Cricetulus griseus: one gene and its partners. The protein of the gene in region 5 interacts with the protein of the main gene of each other region in a pairwise test. Links are inferred from orthologs where the notes say so. Each region holds a gene or a part of one and is shown on either strand. Other genes may lie near its edges. The genes, in order: Natd1, Rabac1, Cdkn2c, Dmc1 and Nif3l1.

The links.
Region 1: the proteins of Nif3l1 (region 5) and Natd1 interact in binary tests that used the Homo sapiens proteins (3 or more experiments, as listed by UniProt). The two-hybrid records come from large-scale screens. The link is inferred for Cricetulus griseus from reciprocal best matches to the Homo sapiens genes NIF3L1 and NATD1.
Region 2: the proteins of Nif3l1 (region 5) and Rabac1 interact in binary tests that used the Homo sapiens proteins (3 or more experiments, as listed by UniProt). The two-hybrid records come from large-scale screens. The link is inferred for Cricetulus griseus from reciprocal best matches to the Homo sapiens genes NIF3L1 and RABAC1.
Region 3: the proteins of Nif3l1 (region 5) and Cdkn2c interact in binary tests that used the Homo sapiens proteins (3 or more experiments, as listed by UniProt). The two-hybrid records come from large-scale screens. The link is inferred for Cricetulus griseus from reciprocal best matches to the Homo sapiens genes NIF3L1 and CDKN2C.
Region 4: the proteins of Nif3l1 (region 5) and Dmc1 interact in binary tests that used the Homo sapiens proteins (3 or more experiments, as listed by UniProt). The two-hybrid records come from large-scale screens. The link is inferred for Cricetulus griseus from reciprocal best matches to the Homo sapiens genes NIF3L1 and DMC1.

What each region holds. Positions count from the first base shown.
Region 1 is NC_048600.1:74,899,571-74,903,538, forward strand, and holds the start of Natd1 (protein NATD1), read right to left. Parts: upstream 2,813-3,968; 5' UTR 2,778-2,812; coding exon 2,681-2,777; intron 1-2,680.
Region 2 is NC_048602.1:9,714,289-9,718,517, forward strand, and holds the start of Rabac1 (prenylated Rab acceptor protein 1), read right to left. Parts: upstream 2,807-4,229; 5' UTR 2,689-2,806; coding exon 2,633-2,688; intron 2,461-2,632; coding exon 2,248-2,460; intron 2,009-2,247; coding exon 1,911-2,008; intron 1-1,910. UniProt on the Homo sapiens protein: General Rab protein regulator required for vesicle formation from the Golgi complex. May control vesicle docking and fusion by mediating the action of Rab GTPases to the SNARE complexes.
Region 3 is NC_048595.1:40,159,787-40,163,792, reverse strand, and holds the start of Cdkn2c (cyclin-dependent kinase 4 inhibitor C), read right to left. Parts: upstream 2,802-4,006; 5' UTR 2,531-2,801; intron 2,519-2,530; exon of another isoform or gene 2,190-2,518; 5' UTR 2,179-2,189; coding exon 2,050-2,178; intron 1-2,049. UniProt on the Homo sapiens protein: Interacts strongly with CDK6, weakly with CDK4. Inhibits cell growth and proliferation with a correlated dependence on endogenous retinoblastoma protein RB.
Region 4 is NC_048595.1:376,733,208-376,736,629, reverse strand, and holds part of Dmc1 (meiotic recombination protein DMC1/LIM15 homolog), read left to right. Parts: intron 1-3,202; coding exon 3,203-3,319; intron 3,320-3,422. UniProt on the Homo sapiens protein: Participates in meiotic recombination, specifically in homologous strand assimilation, which is required for the resolution of meiotic double-strand breaks.
Region 5 is NC_048595.1:412,833,961-412,838,059, reverse strand, and holds the start of Nif3l1 (NIF3-like protein 1), read right to left. Parts: upstream 2,806-4,099; 5' UTR 2,588-2,805; coding exon 2,065-2,587; intron 1-2,064. Other genes in the region: Ppil3 (peptidyl-prolyl cis-trans isomerase-like 3), read left to right, coding at 2,884-2,962, 3,769-3,797. UniProt on the Homo sapiens protein: May function as a transcriptional corepressor through its interaction with COPS2, negatively regulating the expression of genes involved in neuronal differentiation.

The DNA of each region.
Region 1 (3,968 bases), on a different chromosome or scaffold from region 5:
TGCTTTTACAGAGGACCCTCAGTTCCTAGCACTCATGTCTGGCAGCTCACACCTGCCTGTAACTCCAGCTGCAGCATCTGATGTCCTCTTTTAACCTCTCCAGGCACTGGAATACATGTCACACGCACACACGCACGCGGCAGGCACACACACACACACACACACACACACACACACACACACACACACACTAAAAACAAATATTTAAAACACATACACAAACCTGAGTGGCTGGCCCTGGCTGAGGTAAGAAAGAGAAGGCAAGGAAGGGGCTGGAGGCAGGGGTTTTATCTGACTTCTTCCAATCTTTAGATGACAACCCTCAGAAAGCAACTTCAGGGTCTGGACTAGCTGCTGTTCACCAGCCCTGTGCCCTGGTCTCCCACCTATGAAAACAGTGGCCACACATCCAGCATTTGAGAACTTCAATTTGGGGGTCATATATATTTGAATTCTAGTCTCCTCTCACATTCCATACCAACAAGCTCTCTCCATGTTTCCTGTCATATCAGCTCAGGACTTAGGACATTTCTTCCCACCCCTGCTCACACTGCTTGGACCAGTGTAGTTGCCAGCTCCCCACAGTATGTTCCCCACCATTCCAGCCTTAGGGTTCCTGGTCCATGTCATCTGTCCTCTTCCCAGGGCATTTTCAGGAACCCACAGTGCTCAGGGTCAAAGGTAACATTCCCAGGTCCTATACTATTCTTCCCCTGTGAGCTCTCAGTCTCTCCCTAACTGCCCATGCTCCTCTATCCACGCACTGCTCCTGGCTGCTCTGAATACACAATGGGTACTGTCGGGCCTTCCCTCTCAATTGTGTCTTTCTCATGGTGCCCTCTTCAGTGCCTTCTTGCCTTATTCAGGTCTTTACTTGGCCGGGTGTTGGTGACACACGCCTTTAATCCCAGCACTCAGGGGCAGAGGCAGGCGGATCTCTGTGAGTTCAAGGCCAGCCTGGTCTACTGAGCTTCCAGGACAGACTCTAAAACAACACAGAGGAACCCTGTCTCAAAAACAAAACAAAACAAAACAAAACAAAACAAAAAAACAACAAAAAAAAAACCAAAACCAAAACCAATCAATCAAAAAAAGCCAACTTCTTGGAATCTGATGCTAAAGGGCAGCTCTGCCCCAATGTATCCTTCCTTCTGCCCAGTGTCACTTCTCCCAAGGGCTTTTGTTCTACAAGATACTATGTAATTTATTTGAGGCCCATCTCCCCCTCTAGACTGTCAGCCCCACAAGTCCTGGACATCTTGAAGAACGTTGGTAAACAGTAGGTACTCAGTTAATACTAGTGGAATGAATCCTAGTTGTACAGGCTGTGCAGGAGGAGCAGAGGAGGGGCTGCCTGCCTCTAGCCACCCTGTCTCCCTAGGGCACCATTTGTGTTAAGTGACAGAGCAGCAGGTTCCAGAAGGGTTAAGTTTAAAGCTATAGTCTGCTCACAGTCAGCATGGAGTGCTATTCTTTTGACTGGACCCACCTGGAAGAGAAAGGGGGAGGGGGAACCCAAGAGTTCTCCACCTTTCTCTTTGTGGATCTAATGGGCCTCCGGAGTCACCTGGAGAATCATAGCCTCCCTGGAACTACTTCAGATAAGAGGTTCTGAAAAACCTCAGATAAGGCCTCTCAAGTGACTAGGGCCAAGTGTCACAACAGGACTTGTTTCTCTATGGAAAGGGCATGGGCATGGCAAAGGGGCGGCTGGGCTCAGATTTGAATATGACAGGACAAGTCACTTCCTGAGCCCCAGCCTCAGTTTACTCATGTGTGATGTGGGGTGGTATGTCACAACACAGGAAGTGACAGCTGCCTCCCCTGTAGTTGGGTGGCACAAACAGGAGACCAGGCCTCTTCTGCTTGTGACCAAGTGCAGGTCACAGAAGGCTGGCTCAGGAAGTCAGCATAGGCTGCTCATTACCTTCACAGCTGTACAACTTACTGGCTGACCTCACCCAAGTATGTCCCTTCAAAACTGGCGCAGTGGCCTCTAAGTCTGGTCACGGACATGCCCTGGGGGCCCAGCTGGGAGGGGTGGGCTACAAAGAACTCAAGGTCCCATATTTCACAATCATTTCCAGCCCCCGGGATCAATGGGAGGAGTGTCGGTCTGCTGGTACAAACGCTACAGAAGATGAGGCCTTGACCTAGCTCTCTGGTTTGAAAAGTAGCCATTTACCTATGTTTATCAGCACTTGCTGTGCACCGAATGTGTCATTCTGAACCTTTACTGCCACAGTATCTCATCCTCACTGTCAGCTAAAGCAGTCTTCACTACAGCCCCAAGTCAGATTCCGGGAGGCCGAGGCACACATCGACTGGAGAAGTTGGCTAAAATCTCAGAGTCGCCTACCCGCCTCCTCCTCCAGGCCACAAATTCCCTGGGTTATGCCCCAGGCCCGCGCAGGCTCTTCCAGGACGGCAGGAAGCAACCAAACACCGGGGGTGGGGGGTCGGGGGGGGGCAGGTCATCAGCGACCTGCTCTCTGGGATGCAGAGTGGCAGCCCTCCGTCCGCGGCGCCGGAAGCCGGCAGCGCTAGCAGGTGCGGGCTGCCCGGGCGGGCGCGCTCCGGCGATGCCTGTCGGGGTTCTGGAGCCCTCCCGCCCCGGGATCCGTCCGCCAGGTCCCGCCCCGTCCCGCCCGCGCGCGCGCAAACAAAGGCAGCGCGGTACCGTTGAGGCGCACGGAGAACTGGCGACGTTGGCGGTCGTGTTCCACGCGGATGGGGCCGCTCTGCTCCAGCGCGCTCGGCGGGGCTGCGTGCGCCATCGCGCGCGCCGAAGCTGGGGACCGCGGGCCGCAGCGAACTGACTCTCGGGCGGCGCGGGCCGGAGAAGGGGGCGGGGCCGGAAATCAGCTGTGAGTCACGTGCGCCGTGCGCACGGTCTGTTTGGATACATTCCTGGCGTCTCTTAAAGAGGCCGCGTGGCGCGTTTCTGTCGCTGCCTCAACAAATGATGTGTTGGTCCCTCAAGGGTGTCGATTGTCCTGGCATTTGGCCCAGATGCATCTCTGGGACCCACACGGATCTATCTGAAAAAACACATAACGACCTGTGGGGCAATTCTGATTCTCCCAAAGACAGCCATCGAATATTGGGCATTGGCAAGCTTGAGGCATAGATAGCCTATTTTACTGTGGCTGGACATCAAAAGGCAATCTAATCTCAGCTGGAACCCTGCGGGGACTGGCGCTGTGTAGTCCATCCACCCGGGGTAGTTGAAGCTGCTGTTGAGAGATTTGAGAGATTTACCCCCAGGCATGTTTGGGACTGGGTGAAAAAGACACCTTTCCCCCAAAAAAAGCAGAAATGCGAGGCGAGGTCCCTGGGGAGCTAGCTATCCAGGAACCAGTGTCTCCCTAGAAGCTATAATATTTGGAACTACTCTTCAAACAAATAGTATTTGGAAAGCCTGCCATAGATGTTCACAGAATCACCTTCTATTAAGGTGCAAAGTTGATGTCTACATCTCTGAGACCACCACACAGATGGACATACAGAAAGCTTGGGTATACCTCAGTGGGAGAGTGCTTGAAGGTTGTGAGTTCAAGCCAATACAAACTGTGTGGGTGGTGGTGGTGGGGCCAGGGAGCACTTAACAGCCAAATGGAGATCTTCATGGATCCCCTACCAATTGGTGCCTTGCTGCTCCCTGACTTTAGCACTATTGACTTGTCAGCTTTTCCTAAGAACATCCTATAAAATGGAACTACACAACATTTCGTATCTAGTTTCTTTCCTTTCTTTTCTTTTTTTCTTTTGAGACTAGATTTCTCTGTGTAGACCTGGCTGTCCCGGAAATTACTCTGTAGACCAGGCTGGCCTTGAACTAAGAGATCCACCTGTCTCTCCCTCCTGAGTGCTGGGATTAAAGGCATGTGCTTCCACCCCCTAGTTTAGTGCTTAGTTTCTAGGCATCACTTGTGATCAGCCATGATGTTGCTGCTACCATGTTCATC
Region 2 (4,229 bases), on a different chromosome or scaffold from region 5:
TCCCCAAACATAACCAGAATGAAACCACCTTCCTCAGCCCCAGCTCTGCTCTCTATCCCCCCCTCCCCAGGACCTCCCAAGCCACTTGTCTCTCAGACCAGGCTAGCCTCATGTCCCAGCCTGGATACCAGGACTCTCAACCTTGTGGCCCCATTGCCAGGTCTGACCTAAGAGGGTTTTTTTTTTTTTTTAAAGATTTATTTATTTATCATGTATACAGTGCGTGCCAGAAAAGGGCATCAGATCCCATTACAGATGGTTGTGAGCCAACATGTGGTTGCTGGGAATTGAACTCAGGACCTCTGGAAGAACAGTCAGTGCTCTTAACCCCGGAGCCATCTCTCCAGTCCATGACCTAAGGGTTTTTGTCTTCTTATTTTTAACTTATATAATTTTATTTATTACTTTGAATTACGTGTATGTACCCTGTGTGGCCATATGTGCACAAGAGTTCAGGTGCCCATGGAGGCCAGAAGCTGGAGTGACAGGTGGCCTTGTGACAGTCACCTGACATGGGGATTGGGTTCTGAGAACAAAACCTGGGTCCTTTCAAGAACAGAATTCAATTTTAACCACTGAGCCATCTCTCCAAACCATTATTTTGATTTTTTGTTTTTTAAAAACTTGAGACAGGGTTTCTCTGTATAGCACTGGCTGTTCTGGAACTCGATTTGTAGACCAGGATGACCTTGAACTCACAGAGATCCACCAGCCTCACCCCGAATGCTGGGATTAAAGGTGTGTGCCACCATGCCCAGCTCTCATTTTGATTTTTGTTTGTTTGTTTGTTTGTTTTTCGAGACAGGGTTTCTCTGTGGCTTTGGAGCCTATCCTGGCACTCGCTCTGTAGACCAGGCTGGTCTCGAACTCACAGAGATCGCCTGCCTCTGCCTCCCGAGTGCTGGGATTAAAAGAGTGCGCCACCAATGCCTGGCTCATTTTGATTTTTTAAAAGACTCTGAAGCCCAGGCTTGTTTTGAATTTACAGCAATCATCCTGTTTCAGCCTCCCAAATGCTGGGATTACAGGCATGAGCCAGAACGTCTGTCTGTCTTTGAAGTGTTTCACAAGAATCTGGTTTGTGGGGACTGGAGAGACGGCCCAGCAGTTAGGAGCACTTGCTGCTTTCCCAGAGGGCCTGCCTTCTGGGTGCTTAACAAATTTTGTAAGGCTAGGGCATGGTTGCATACTCCTTTAATCCCAGCACTCAGGAGGCAGAGGCAGGGGAAATCTGTGAGTTGGAGGCCAGTCTGGTCTACAGAGTGAGCTCCTGGCAGGCCGAGGCTACGTAAGAAGACCCTATCTCAAAACAATTTTTTTCAGGCTCTCCTATGTCTGGAAATTGTGTATGCCCTAGTGACTACTATCTGCCAAGGCCAAGTTCTCTTGTGCTTCAGGCTCTTCTCGCTCGGCCCTAGTCCATCTTCCTCTGGTAACCTGTCTGGGACCTGAAAGACTGTCACAGGTCTCCTTGGCAAACCTGGGATTTCCTCTCAGTGGGTCTTCCCTGACACTTCTCTTCCCAGTGGGCGGACAGGTCTCCGTTTCCCCTTCTGGAAATATCTAGTATCTTACCAGTTCAGCCCTGGGACAGAAGGCATGGGAAGGCAGACAGACCTAGGCCTGCACACGGTCGCCACCTGGTGTCCAGTGTGGGTACCTGCAGCGGATGCTCTCCCCGGGGAGGATTGGGAAGGACTGATTCATTTTACAGGAGACACAGGAGCCGGGGTTTTAGGGCTCTCCCTGGGTTTTGGGGAGCTGAGACTGGAGGGTATTCACCTGCGACCTTAAGGACTAAGTTTAATGACTCTAGTGCACCTCTCGGTGGGACCGACTTGATTCCCAAATATTCGGAGGTCTGCAGTTCTGTGGGACCTGGGGATCCGTTTGGGCGGGGGGTTTCTCACCAAAGAGCACAAGCTTGGACTGCAACGTGCGCAGATAGAGAATGTAACAGGCGCCAAAGAAGACAGCCAGAGCCACCAGCAGCATGGGGGATGTCACCCTGGAAGAGTGTGGGAGACAGGAGTCAGGCGTCTGAGGCTGTGTGAGCCGGCTCCCTCTAGCCTTGGGCATCACATGGGGTGGCTAGACTGCATCCCGGCTCGGGTGGATTCAGGAATACAGACCGACTCCTGGGTGCTCGGGTGACAAGGCCCTGGGCCTAGCTAACCGGCGGGGGGCGGGGCCTGGCAACAGGGGGCGGGGCCTGGCGCAGGAGGGCGGGGCTGCCGAGGCACTCACACGCAGTAAAGGATGAGGCCCAGAAACACGAACACGTAGTTGCTTTGGTAATACTCCACGTTGCGTACCAGGCGCTGGCAAAGCTCGCCCAGGTTGCGGGGTCGCGAGAAACGCTGCTGATCCACGAAAGCGCCCCAGGGCCGGATGGTCGCGCGGCGCCGCTCCAGCCACTCTCGGCCGGCGCCGGAGGGAATCAGCTTGGGCAGCAGGGTCCTGGAGGGCGGGGCGGGGCGGGGGCAGGTCAGCCGCAAGCGGTCCCAGGGCCCGGACCCCAGATCCCAGCACATCGCGGCCCCCGGGGGACATCTCCTCTGCAAAGCCCGGGGGCCGGGACGCCTGGGACCCCACGCTCGGGAGTATGGGGGGTTACACCCTGCTCGCTCACGTGGCGCTCAGCCCCTCCACCTCCGTATCCTTCTGCTGGTCCTTCTGGGCCGCCATGTCTACGCTGCGGTGTGTGGGATCGCCGCGGACAGCCTCGAGCCCCGCCGCACCCAGCCGGCCCCCGCCCGAGCCCGGACGCTCAGGACATGGCGCCGCTTGGCACTCTAGGGGGCGGTAGTTGCGTCTCCGAGCATTCTGGGAGTTGTAGTCATTGCGGCGTCAGGAGGTCGGTCGGGCTCGCAAGACACCTCGGGAGAAGTATGCCAAGAGCGCCGCGTGGGCCTCTAGGCATTGTGGGAACTGTAGTTTCAGAGCGTGCAGCGTGGGCTCTTAGGATGGGGCGTTTTTACCGGGAGTTGGCATGGCAGCTGCGGGATTCCGTGGAGGGTGCGGAGCTATCATCCTGACTCCAGACGGCATAATAATAATAATAATAATAATAATAATAATAATAATAATAATAATAATAATAATAATAATAATAAATAATTAATAATAATAATAAAAACATTGGCCGCAGCCTCAGATATTCTGATTCTGATTGGGCTGGTCTGGGGTGGAGTTCATTAACTTTCTCTTTCCTTAGAAAACAAAACAAAACAAAAATTATAGGGGCTGGAGAGATGGCTCAGATGTGTGAGAACCGGCTGCTCTTCCACTTCCAGGTGTCCTGAGTTCAATTCCCAGCAACCCACATGGTGGCTCACAACCATCTACAAATGTGATTTGGTGCCCTCTTTTGGCATATAGCATACATGAAGGCAGAACACTGTATAATAAATAAATTTTTAAAAATATTATATATGTATATATCCAGCTCTAGTCAATCAAACATACTCACGTGTACTTACACAGATACACATAACTTTTAAAATATCTTTTCTAAAAAATGGCTTCTGCCGGGCATTGGTGACTCAAGCCTTTAATCCCAGCACTCGGGAGGCAGAGGCAGGAGGATCTCTGTGAGTTCGAGGCCAGCCTGGTCTACAGAGCAAGTGCCAGGACAGCCTCCAAAAGCTACACAGAAACCTTGTCTCCAAAAACCAAAAAGAATTAAAAATAAATGGTTTATGTGTGTGTGCCACATGGGTGACGGTGCCTGAGGAGGCCCAGAAGAGGGTATTACATCCCCCCCCTGGAACTGAAGTTACCACCAATTGTGAGCTGTTCAAAATACATGGGCTGGGAACTGAACTCTAGTCCTCTGGAAAAGCAGCACGCACACTCTTAACTACTGAGTCATCTCTCCAAACCCTCTTTTTTATTTTCATTTAAAACATCTGTTTTATTTATTTACTTTTTCCAGACAGGGTCTTTCTACATAGCCCTTGGTACTCGCTCTGTAGACCAGGCTGGTCTCAAACTCTCAGCGATTCACCTGTCTCTAGTGCTTGGGTTAAAGGTGTGTGACACTACCACCTGGTTTTTAAAAATGATTTGTTTTTATTTTATGTACATTGGTCTTCTGCCTGCATACACGTCCGTGTGAGAGTGTTGGGTCTCCTGGAACTGGAGTTGCTGACAGTTGTGAGCTGCCATATGGGTGCTGGAAGAGCAGTCAGGGTGCTTAACTATTTTTTTAATTATTTAACTTTATT
Region 3 (4,006 bases), about 370 Mb from region 5:
AAATTCCAGCATTTGAACTGGTTTCATGTATATTTAGGTATATTTATAAAATAAGTTATGTAATAATATAAGTGAGCTACTTACTAGACACTAAATATTTATTAGTCAAAAGTAACACATTTGAAAATATGAATATCTTTAAGATGTTTTTAAAAGAATAACAAATTATTAAAATATATTTAGAATGAATAATATTTTAAGTGCAAATTACTCACTTTCTCATGATACTAAGTTTTCACTTTAATAAACCCTGTCACCCCTTCATTTAGAACAGTAGAAAAATGACCCAAAATTTACTTTTCCAGAGCCTCCATGGAATATATTTTCTGGTTATTAAAAATTAGTACAGTCTAATTTTAATTTTTGCCACATCTCTCTAGAACCTTAGTCACATTTAAAGAGTTAAAGTGAGCTAAACATGAAATAGACACCTTAGAACTTTGTAAAGCAAATATACCATGAAGGTCTTTTATTATTCTCCTTGAAAACAACAGCAAAGAAAAAAAAGGCTTCTGCAGTTGAGTAGGAAACATAATCACAGATTAAAATCTGCCATCTTTGGCAGAAAGTAATAGTAATATTGCAAATGATTTTGAAGAAAGTTCTTTCTGATGACACAATTTCAGAATCAGGATTATGCATACTGAAAAAGACTCCTATTTGTGTGTGTATGCTTCATTATATGTACTGATATTAAGCTATAAGTGGGTATTATCTAAGTTTGTTAATATAAAAACAAAAGTGGCTAGTTTTTAAAAAAATGTTTGTCAAAATCCAATTATCTTAATTACCCAATTGTCTTGTTTGTAAAAGATTCTGTACTATCTTTTTCTGAACATGAATGAAGTGGCTTAGACTTTGTGAAACTGACCTATCTTTTGTCTTTTCAATAGAAAACCTTTTTAAGGCATTGCTATCTATCATCACCAAACCAGTACAAAAGTGTTAGATGGTAAAACAAAAGCAAAACCTTTCCTTATTTAATCTACCTGAATCAGGATAAATATTTTAGTATCTCTGCATGAGCCACCTCAATAGTGAAAATTTTGCAAGGCCAGTTATACTCTGATTTAAAATATACAGGCCGTGTGAGCTTCTACTGTGGCATCCTGTCACTTAAATTTCTAATTTTAAAAACAGAAACAGAGCTCTCTAATGCCCTTATCCCAGTGGGTTTTCAAAAGCTGCTCATGGATAGGAAAAGCTCCCAGGAGTACCATCTGAACACCAATAAAAGCAACTAGTGTATAGAGATCACTTTTCTATTTTTTTGTTTGTTTGTTTCTAAGCCTTCCAGCAAAATTACATGATAACATTTGGAGGAGAAAAAAATATTATCAGGTACATACTTGGCAGCTGGACATGTGTCATTTGTTGCCTGTAAATCTAATTACTGAAAAATAGAGCATACCACCGCATGACCACGGGGAAAATAAAAACATTACTGCTTAGCTCTGATTAGAAAATTCAACTTTTTATTTCTCCTCAATCCTGAATGGGTGGGTTAGGTAGTATAGTAACTGTGGAATATACATCCTGTCCTGGTGCCCAGGCTATCCCATTCCAAACGAGGAAAGGTCGTTTGTTAAGACATGAAACAGCTTAAGGAAAAACACCCTTCCTAGTAGTCAGGGAAATTAACCTTAAAGTCAATTATTGGGAACAAAATAGGTGAAAACCACTATTAACTGTGTATTTACTTCAAATAATAATCATAATAATGTGCTTAAAGAGCTATCTAAAACAACACAGCACAAAACAAACAGATTTCGACGCTAAGACTACTTTAAAATCTTCACTGTCACAAAAACATTCCAAAAAATATGACCAAACCTAGGATTCTCTTTATACCGAGGATGTTACTGGATTTGACGAGTTTCTTCAAAGTACGTCATTTTGGGGAGTTGGATCCACTTAAAGATATAAAATATGGCAACCAAGTAGGTTTTAAAACCGTGACGATTTGTACCCCTCAAAACTTAAAAACTGTCATTTTAGAAGCCCAAGCAACCTTATTGACTCGCTTTCCCCACCTCTGTGGATACCAACCTGCAGCGCAGTTCTCCCAAATCCATTTTGAGCGTTGACGTTTACATTATTTTGCAACAAACTAGTAAGTTGCTCTAGGTCCCCCCTGGCAGCTGCGGACGCCAACTCGTTCCCCCAAGGCTCGGCCATTCTTTAGGGTCCTGACGATCGGGAAAAGACGATTAGTTGCTTCTCCTTTCCCCCTTTCCTTTGCTCCTAATCAGGCTGCATGATGGCATCGGAGGCTGACAGAAGGACTGGGATGGTTAATCTAGAGTAGAGCTTGGTAGTAAATACTAGTAAGGTCGGCCTGCCAAAAGCCCGCCCCTTGATTCACACGTGATTATTCAGCAAAACTGAGCCCATTGGAGAGGGGCTCTTCTCCTAGCTTTTTAGCTTAACCCCTAAGAAGGATTCTGGCGATTCAACAGACACATACAGACACACAGGCATTCTTGATTAATTACTCTGGACGTGAGATGCAGGCAGAGCTGTCACGTACCTAAACTTCACAGTTCTGTGAGGAGGATGTGCGGAGACGTAAGAGACTAGGTCAGCTCAGAAAACACTGCGGAAGAAAAAGTATTGGAGAGGAGAAAAGGCATTAACCCACCCTTGTTTACAATGGTGACTTGAGGCAGAACTTCAGGGACAAGTCCTCCGTAGGGCTCGCTTTCCATCCGTCTCGCCGAAGGGGGTAGTCCCAAGTGCTGCTCGCTAGGAGAGCGCCGCGGTGGCTGGATGCTGACGTGCTGTGGGGGGTTAAAGATGATCGCCCAAGGCAGACGGGAGCAGCAGTTCCGTGGCCCTCAACTCTCGGGTCTCAACGACTCCCCAGTGGGCTCGGCGTCTTCAGAAGAGCCCCCGGAGCCCGCAGCCGCAGCCCCGCCGAGCCTCAGAGGCCGTGGGAGCCGGGCAGGGCGCAGGTCTCCGGAGGCTGGTGGGCGCGCGGCAGACCCCCGCCAAGCCCGTCATGCCGGTCCCGCCGGGTCCCGGGACTCCCGGCAGCCTGAGAAAGGAGGAGGGCGGCGAAGGACGCGTCTACCGGGCTCCGGTCGCTGAGGCAGCTCGCCGTAGCATCGCGGCTGCACCGGGCCAGCTCTCCAGTAACTTCCCGCCCACGACCGAGCTAGCTCAGGCTCTGCACTGCAAGCTCTCACTGAGGGGCGGCTGTCGCCTCTGCAACGGTCTTTCCCTCCTTTCCGATTTTCCGGGGGCCTCCGGTGATGGGAAGGGTCCTTGGAAGTACGGGCGGTCTCCACAGTTCCCGGGCGCAGTCAGTCCCGCCGATTTGTTGGCGTCCGCCCAGCAGCTCGGGCGCCTGTTGCCACTTGGCCAGTTGTCCGCGGTCCTCCGGCCTGTGCCCCTAAGTCTGTACCGCGGGGACAGGGCAGCGGCTGCCAGCCAGCTGGGTCCCCGAGCCGAGCCAGGCAGCGCCGGACCCTCGCGAGCCGCAGCTGACAGTTTCTTTTGTAGTCCGATTCCCCAAAATCTCTGATCGCGGCTCTCTTCACGGCCACAGGCACTTGCGCGTCTTTCCCCTTTAGGATCTTTCCCTTCCTTCCCTCCTTTGCTTCTTTTTCCGCTGAAGCAACTGCTGCTTCGGTTGCCTCTGCAGAGACGGTGCCGGTTTCTTATCCCTTTTTTTCCGACCTCATCAGCTTTTTTTGAAAAGAAAAAAATTGAGCGCTTTTTGAGTTGAAAAACCCGCCCCCATTTTAACGGCAGAGTTTTAAGGAGGCTCCGCCGAGTTAGCGCGCCGCGGGAGCGGGAAGGCCGGGCGCCGCCCACGCCCCGCCCTCCGCCTGGCGGCGCACTGGCCGGCGGCGCGCTCGCTCCGCCCTCGCGGCCCCGCGCTCTTCTCGGCCCGCGCTGGGCCTGGGTCAGCCCGGCGGCCGCGGAGTTCCTGGCCGCCCTCCCTGCGGGCCGCCCCTGCCGAAGCGGGATCGGTGCCGCCCGGACGGGCCTGCTGGCCTGG
Region 4 (3,422 bases), about 36 Mb from region 5:
CATCCTATCCCATTTCATCTCAGAACTATTCTTCATGAGCCCTGCTAATTTGGAGTTGGATGATCAGAATGATAGACATGTCCTGTTCAACCAAAGTGGGAAAATCTCTTTCAGTTCCTCCTTGTTCCTAGTATCTACCCTCCCTCATTCTCCCAAGAAAAGAGGAAAAGAGAGAAGAAAATGTAAAAGACTATAAGAAGCACGTGGGAGGCTTTCTGATGCTGTTAACTTGGTCAGAAATAGATGTAAATTAAAGCCCTCTGAAGGAATGCGGGGTGCTATGCCACCTTCTTGTATGTCACCTCAAGACTGTGAATGCTGCAGTAGTCAGGAAGTACAGACACTGAGAAAAATTTCTTGGATTATGTTTTGTTGAAAAATGATTATTTAAATTGAACTGTTTAGTTAAATAATAAGCAATTTATTGAGGATATCTTATATGATAAGTTTGCTGTCAGGGTAGAGCTAATGTGTCACAATGATCAGCCATGGTTCCTAGTACACAGTGGCTCCCAATGAGTTATTCTTAGTATCTTGAGTCCTTGCAATAGTCCTAAAAGTTCAGGAGTTCACCTTTCCCCCTCATTTTACTATGAAAGAAACTGGGTAAAGTAAGTAGGTAGTAAATGTTTGAGTCAATAATAGGAAAACAGATAAATAATAGCTGTAGTCTCTAGGCTAACACTTTGCCTGAATTATTTCATCTTATTCTTACAGTTGTCCTACAAGTTGGTACCATTATTATTTACCATGAAAAGTCAGAAACAGAATGGTTAAACAGTTTTCCTGAGGTCACAGAGCTGACAAGCAGACTTTGAACTCAAGTCTAATTCAAAAGCTCATAAACCATACAACACATCAGACCTGTGCCTGCCAGAGGGAAAACTAGCATGTTTTCAGGGATACACTCATTATTATAGTGAAATGACCACTGTTCATGGCCCTCAGCCTTTAAGCATAGGTGTGATTGGATTAGAGAATTCTTCTCTCAGGGGGAACATAAAGCTAGCTTATAAGACTCAGCAAAAAGACAAAGGACTAGTCTGATAAAGAAAATGTAACTACATTCAAAGTTCATGTGACCAGTGAGTGAAATCTCCCTAAATATAGACCTCTAGCAGAATCCAATTTTTAATCCAAATTGTTAATAACTATTAAATCTGGCTTCGGATCTCAGCACACACTTCATGTGGTTCACAACTGCATGTAACTCCAGCTGCAGGGAATCTGACACCGCTTGCCTACATGGACAACTGCACCCATGTGCACATACCCACATACACGTAACTTCAAAACAATTAAATAAACTTCTGGGTTTTTTTTAAAGATTTATTTATTTATTATGTGTACAGTGTTCGGCACCAAATCTCATTACAGATGGTTGTGAGCCAACATGTGGTTGCTGGGAATTGAACTCAGGACCTTTGGAAGAGCAGGCAGTGCTCTTAACTGCTGAGCCATCTCTCTAGCCCCAAACTTCTGTTTTTTGAAGAAATTTTCACTTTGAAAATATATGCACCTAATAGAAGCATTGCCTTGGTTTAAAGTAAAATCACCTTGTTTTGCAACATTGCAAATGATTAATTTAGACAAGATTTATTGACTGGTGCTAAAATAAATGGTGAAAGCTTATTGTAAAACATGATGTTACATTCATAAATTACTGAATTTCCAAGAGGTATTTTTTGTGTCTTTTCTAATGAAGAACTCTCACAAACACCATCTATTTATTTTGTCTAATTGGCTGGGCTTTTTGTTTGTTTTGTTTTTGTTTTCAGACAGGGTCTCACTATGTAGACCTTGAATTTATAGATCTACTTGGCTCCTCCTCCTGAGTGCTAGGATTAAAGGTGAGCATCATCACACCTGGCTCAAGAATACTATCTTAGCCAGTGGTGTTGGTGTACACCTTTGATCCCAGCACTAGGGAGGCAGAGGCAGGAGGATCTCTGTGAGTTCGAGACCAGCCTGGTCTACAAGAGCTAATTCCAGGACAGCCTCAAAAGCCACAGAGAAACCCTGCCTTAGAAATGGGAATGTTAGTTCCCAGGTATCTCTCAAGATGAATACCAATAGTATTTGTAACTTCTTTTCTGTCATAATATGATTTTTGAATCACCATGACTAGACATAGATAAGAGCTTACCTTTTTGTGTGTGTGTAATTATTCTTGTATGTATGCATTGATGTTGCACATGTATGTGCAGGCCAGAGATTGACATCAGGTGTCTTCCTCTGTTGCTTTCTACCTCAGTTTTGGGACACGGTCACTAACTGAACCTGGAGCTTGCCAATTCAGCTATACTGGTCAACCAGCAAACTCTAGGAACCCTCCACCTCTTCAGCACTAAGAGTATGGGCACATACCACTGCACCCAGCTTTTAAGACCTTACTCCTTAAATATCCATATTTATAGAAATAAACTTTGGGCAACAACAAAAATATTTCAAGATTGTTTTCACTGCACATTCGTAACTTGTACAACATTGAAGGAATCCACCATAAAACTTATGAACAAGAAAGGCTCTCTCGAATGGGAATGTAGCTCAATAGTAAAATACTTGCCTGGTATGTGTGAGGCCCTGAGTTCCATCCACAGCATCACAGAGGAAGAGGGGAGGGAGAGTTCACAATTTACTTTTTTACAAAGCCTCAAGGAGAAAGTTTATCAGTTTATTTACTTACCTACTTAGAGATAAGGTTTCACCATGTAGCCCAGGCTTGCCTTGAACTTTCAGTCCTCCTGCCTTAGTCTTTCATCTACCTAGCTTAGATAATTCTTATTCATCAGACTAAAATAGTGCCTGGTACATGGAGGTACTATTTTAGTACCTCCGAGAGAGGTGGATCTCTGTGAATTTGAGGCCAGCCTGGTCTCTAGAGTGAGTTCCAGGACAGCCAGGGCTACACAAAGAAACACCATCTCAAAGCCACCACCACCACTACCCCCAAAAAATAAAAACAAATAAGTATTTCTGATAAAAGAGTTAGTGAATAAATCAATCCAGTATTTGTAGTTTATAAGGAGTTTTTTTCCAAGACAAAAAAGGCACACCTGAGGTTGACCTCTGAAATGCTTACATACACACAAAGAATACACACCTATTTCCTCCCTGCCATTCCACTCACAGAGGCTGCTGCTTCCTTGGAAATATCACTATATATCCAAATGAAGTCTGAAGAAATGTTTTATTGATTCAGTTTCCAGGCAGATCCCAAGAAACCCATTGGTGGACACATTCTGGCTCATGCTTCAACAACAAGAATAAGCTTGCGGAAGGGAAGAGGAGAATTGAGGATTGCCAAGATTTATGACAGGTATATACTTCTTTATTCTTCTTCAGATCCTGTTCACATGCCTTTAAACAGAATTGCTAGCCCTGAGAGACTATCCATTGAATTAACAAATGAACTTTTTGTT
Region 5 (4,099 bases):
AAATAAATAAAAATAAACAAGAAACCAGACAGAAACCTTGGTGTCTCTGTAACTAACCTAGAAGGCATCTCCCGAAGGTTGAGTTTTGATTCACACAGCTCAGAGTGCCCGGGGTACTGACACCGTGTCATCTGAACAATCATGAAGCCACCTAGCAATGAAGACTCATGCTCTGTTTGCTCATCCCCCTGGTGCTGGCTAGCTTTTGTCAGCCTGTCACAAGTCAAGGTCAGCTGGGAAAAGGAAGCCTCAAATGAAAAAAACGCCTCAGTCAGAGTGCCACTTGGTAAGTATGTGGAGCATTTCTTGATTAAGGGCTGATGTGGGAAAACCCAGGACCCTGAGTAGGCTAATCCAGCCATAAGCGTTCAGTGGGTCTGTCTCCCTGGTGGTCTTTGGGGATCTTTGAGACTTGGGCACAACAAAGCCATTCCATAATCAAGCCAATAAGCAGTGTTCCTCTATGGCTTCTACTTCAGTTCCTGTCTGCAGGTTCCTGCCCTGGTTTACCTTCATGATGGACTGTTAGATGGAAGATGAAACAAACCCTTTCCTTCTCAAGGTGCTTTTGGTGTTTATCAGGGCAATAGAAACCTGATTAGGACAATACTTTACATAGAGTTCAAGGCCAGCCTGAGCAACAGGAGACCCATTAGTAAAACAAAAACAGGCTTTCTCTGTGGCTTTGGAGGCTGTCCTGGAACTAGCTCTTGTAGACCAGGCAAGTCTCAAATTCACAGAGATCCGCCTGCCTCTGCCTCCCAAGTGCTGGCATTAAAGGCACGCATCACCAACGCCCGGCTTTGTTTGGTTTTGGTGGGATGATATTCAATGTAGCCATTGTCTGACTGTATAGCTCAGGCTGGCCTTAAACTCATGCTCTCCTGACTCAGCTTCCTGGACTCTTAAAGTATAAGATTTTGGAGTACAGGCTTATACTACACCAAGCCTAATTTACATTGTTTCATTTTTCTTTCTTTTTTTAAAGAGTTTGTTTAGATTTATTTATTTCATTATTTTATGTGCCTGAGTGTTTTGCCTGTGTTATGTGTAAACATCATGTGTGTGTGTCCACAGAGGCCAGAAGAGGGCATCAGTTCTCCTAGGACTGAAGTTAACCTATGGTTGTGAGCCTCCATGTGGGTGCTGGGAACCCAGGTCCTCTGTGAGAGCAACAAAAACGTTTTCTTAACTGCTGAGCCAATTCTTCAGCCTCAATAAATAGTTCATTTATTTATCGAGCTGATTCAGTAGTGGAGAGCAGTCCTTGCTCATGCAGAGGACCTGCCTGTGTTTGATATTCCAACATCCACATAGCAATTCACAGCTGTAGGGAGAAGGCTGGCCCTGCTAGAGTCAGAACAGGACATAACTATACACCAAATTCTCAGCACAAAGGAGGGTTGGAGGTGGCGGGGTGGGTGCTGCAAAAGCAAAAAGCAGCAAGAGCAAGGCCAAGAGCAAGAGCAAGCACAAGCAAGCAAGAAAACAGGTGTTTTTTTTTTTTTTTTTTTTTTTGTAGGAGTGGGTTTTAAGGAGAAAAAGGGGGAGTCTGTGCTTGGGGGAGTTGGTAGATCCTGATTGAACATGTTAGCCAAATAATGAATTTTGGTTGTTGGACCTCGGTGTTTTGTCTCTGGAATGAGTCAGTGGCCAAATAAGGGAGTGGACTTCAGGGGCTAGCTTTAGGAATGTAATAGAACAGATTAGCAAGTGGGAGAGGGGTAAAAAGCAAAACCTGTTGGCACCATGTTTGCCATGCTGGAGCCTGCTGGAGCCCTTCATCAACTGACTGTAACTCCAACTCTAGAGGATCCAGAACCCACCGCACACATGTGGGGCACTTACATACAAGCAAGCAAAAACACTCAACAGATAGAAAAATAAATACATTTTTAAAGGAAACTCAATTATCAAATCTAAGCAACACATTATTTTTAGTACTATATAAAAATAGAAAAACCCATTTCCCCTAGAAAAAAAATGAATAATAAGAAGACATTTTAAAACTTCAAAGTATTTGTAGAGCTATCACTAAATATTGAAGGACACGAGATTTCTCACCAAGCCCTTTGGCCAGCCAGTTGTTGACTCCCTGGGGTGCAGCATCATAGGCCGTATGGGGAGAGTAGATGGCGACCCTGTTCTCCAGTGCCCGGATCACCAGGCGCTCCTTCCAGGTTTTCCAAGTTATGTGCTTCATGGCCCGGAAAATTGGTGGATGGTAGGAGAGAATGAGATCTGCCTTCTTTTGCAGAGCCTCCTCCATGACCTCCTCAGTCAAGTCGTTGGTCAGGAAGAGTGTATTTACAGTATGGGGAGGGCTTGGTTCCACCAGTAATCCCACATTGTCCCAACTCTCAGCAAATGAGAGCGATGCAAAGTCATTCAAGGAGGAAAGCAGAGCCTTCAGATCCATGAAGGAACGAGAAGACCGGCAGATCCAGGACGGGGCCAGTCGGACACTTGTAGGTAGCAGGTGTGCAGATGACAGCATACAGAAACCAGGTAAAACCGTGTCTGGAGTCAAAACACAGGAAATGGCATTTATGTAGAGTTCAGTTCTGCACTTTGAGGCATAAAGCATGTGAGTAAAAGAGCTGGTTCAAGGTCTTTTCCAGAACAAGCAAGGGCCATGTGGCACAGCTGTAGTCCTTGAGTCAGGACCCTCGCCCCTGCTGCAGCAAGGGAGTGTCCCGCCCCCATCTCCCGTGTTCTCATCCCCCGTGGCACCCTGTAATCGCTACAGGCCTCCCTGAAGTGCAACTTCAGCGAGAGGAACAGATAACCCCGCGAGCCTCTCACTCGCCCACTACTCACCGGTCCCAGAAACTCTTCTGTGCGTCACTTCCGCTCTGCCCTGAAGCTACCAGCAATGTAGGAATGAAGTTGGGCGGAAGTGGTCCTGTGCGTTTTGCTTCCGACTCCAGAGACCTGCATGAAGTTGCACGGACAGCAGCAGGTTGTTTCTTAGTGTGACTGTCTGGAGAACCTTCTCGCTGTTAGGTGGGGGGCCGAGAGGTGAGGTGCTGAGAGGGGAGACTGACGGGAAGCAGATGTTCTCTGCGAAGGGCCCCGCGCTCTGCTCCGGTGGGGCAAAAACACTCATTTGGAACCCGCAGACATGCGGGGACCTGAGGTTGAGTCTTTTCTGTTTCCGCAGCGGCGGTGACAGCGAAGTGGGCAAGTGTGGGGTAACGGCATTTCTCCTTTTGTGCGTGCACTCGATGCCTGCTGCACCCCACGTTGGCCCGTTTTGTTTCTTGGGGTTACTCGTGATGAACTCTTGGGCTGCAGATGGTCTTTCTGGGACTTTAGATTGAAGAATGTATGTTGCTAGTGACCACTACCACGGGGAAAGCACATAGAGCATATGGGAAAGGCGCTTTTAAATACGATTGTCAGGTTAGTAAGACCTGGGGTTAGAAAAAGACTGTGAAGAGTGAAATTTATTGTACAGACGTCTGGGTAAAGGGTGCGCCAGTGCCTAGCTCGACCAATAGACAGGAAGGTGGGAATATGTCTAGCCTACAGAAAGAGCCTTGAAGAAAGATGAGAAAAATAAGTAGAGTGTTGGGAGAGAGGGGTGCTTGTTGCGTTGGGTAGGATCTCAACACTTCTATGGTAGGATTTTTATTTAGAGGATGTTATAAGCTTTTCTTTGTAAATCTACCATAAAGATGAACAAGTGTGCTGGGAAAGATAGGGTTAAAATGAACTAATTCCTCTTTTAGGATTAAAAACTCATCTTCAGTTTTTCTCTGCAAGGCTTCCTGGAACCATCAAGAGGGAGGATGGTAAGTATTGTAGAATTCTTCTAACTGGGTGGTTGTTGGCTTGTTTTTAACCCCGTCGGATTCCCTGGAGCTGGAGCCACTAGCAGGTGTGGGTTCTGGGAACCGGACAGGTCCTCTTGTAAAAGCAGCAAGTGCTCCTTACTGCAAGCCATGTCTGCACCCTATTACATGTTTTAATTTTTTTGTTTTTGTTTTTGGTTTTTCGAGACCAGGCTGGCCTCGAACTCACAGAGATCCGCCTGCCTCTGCCTCCCTAGTGTTGGGATTAAAGGCCCACCAACTCTCAGCCATGTTTTAAAATT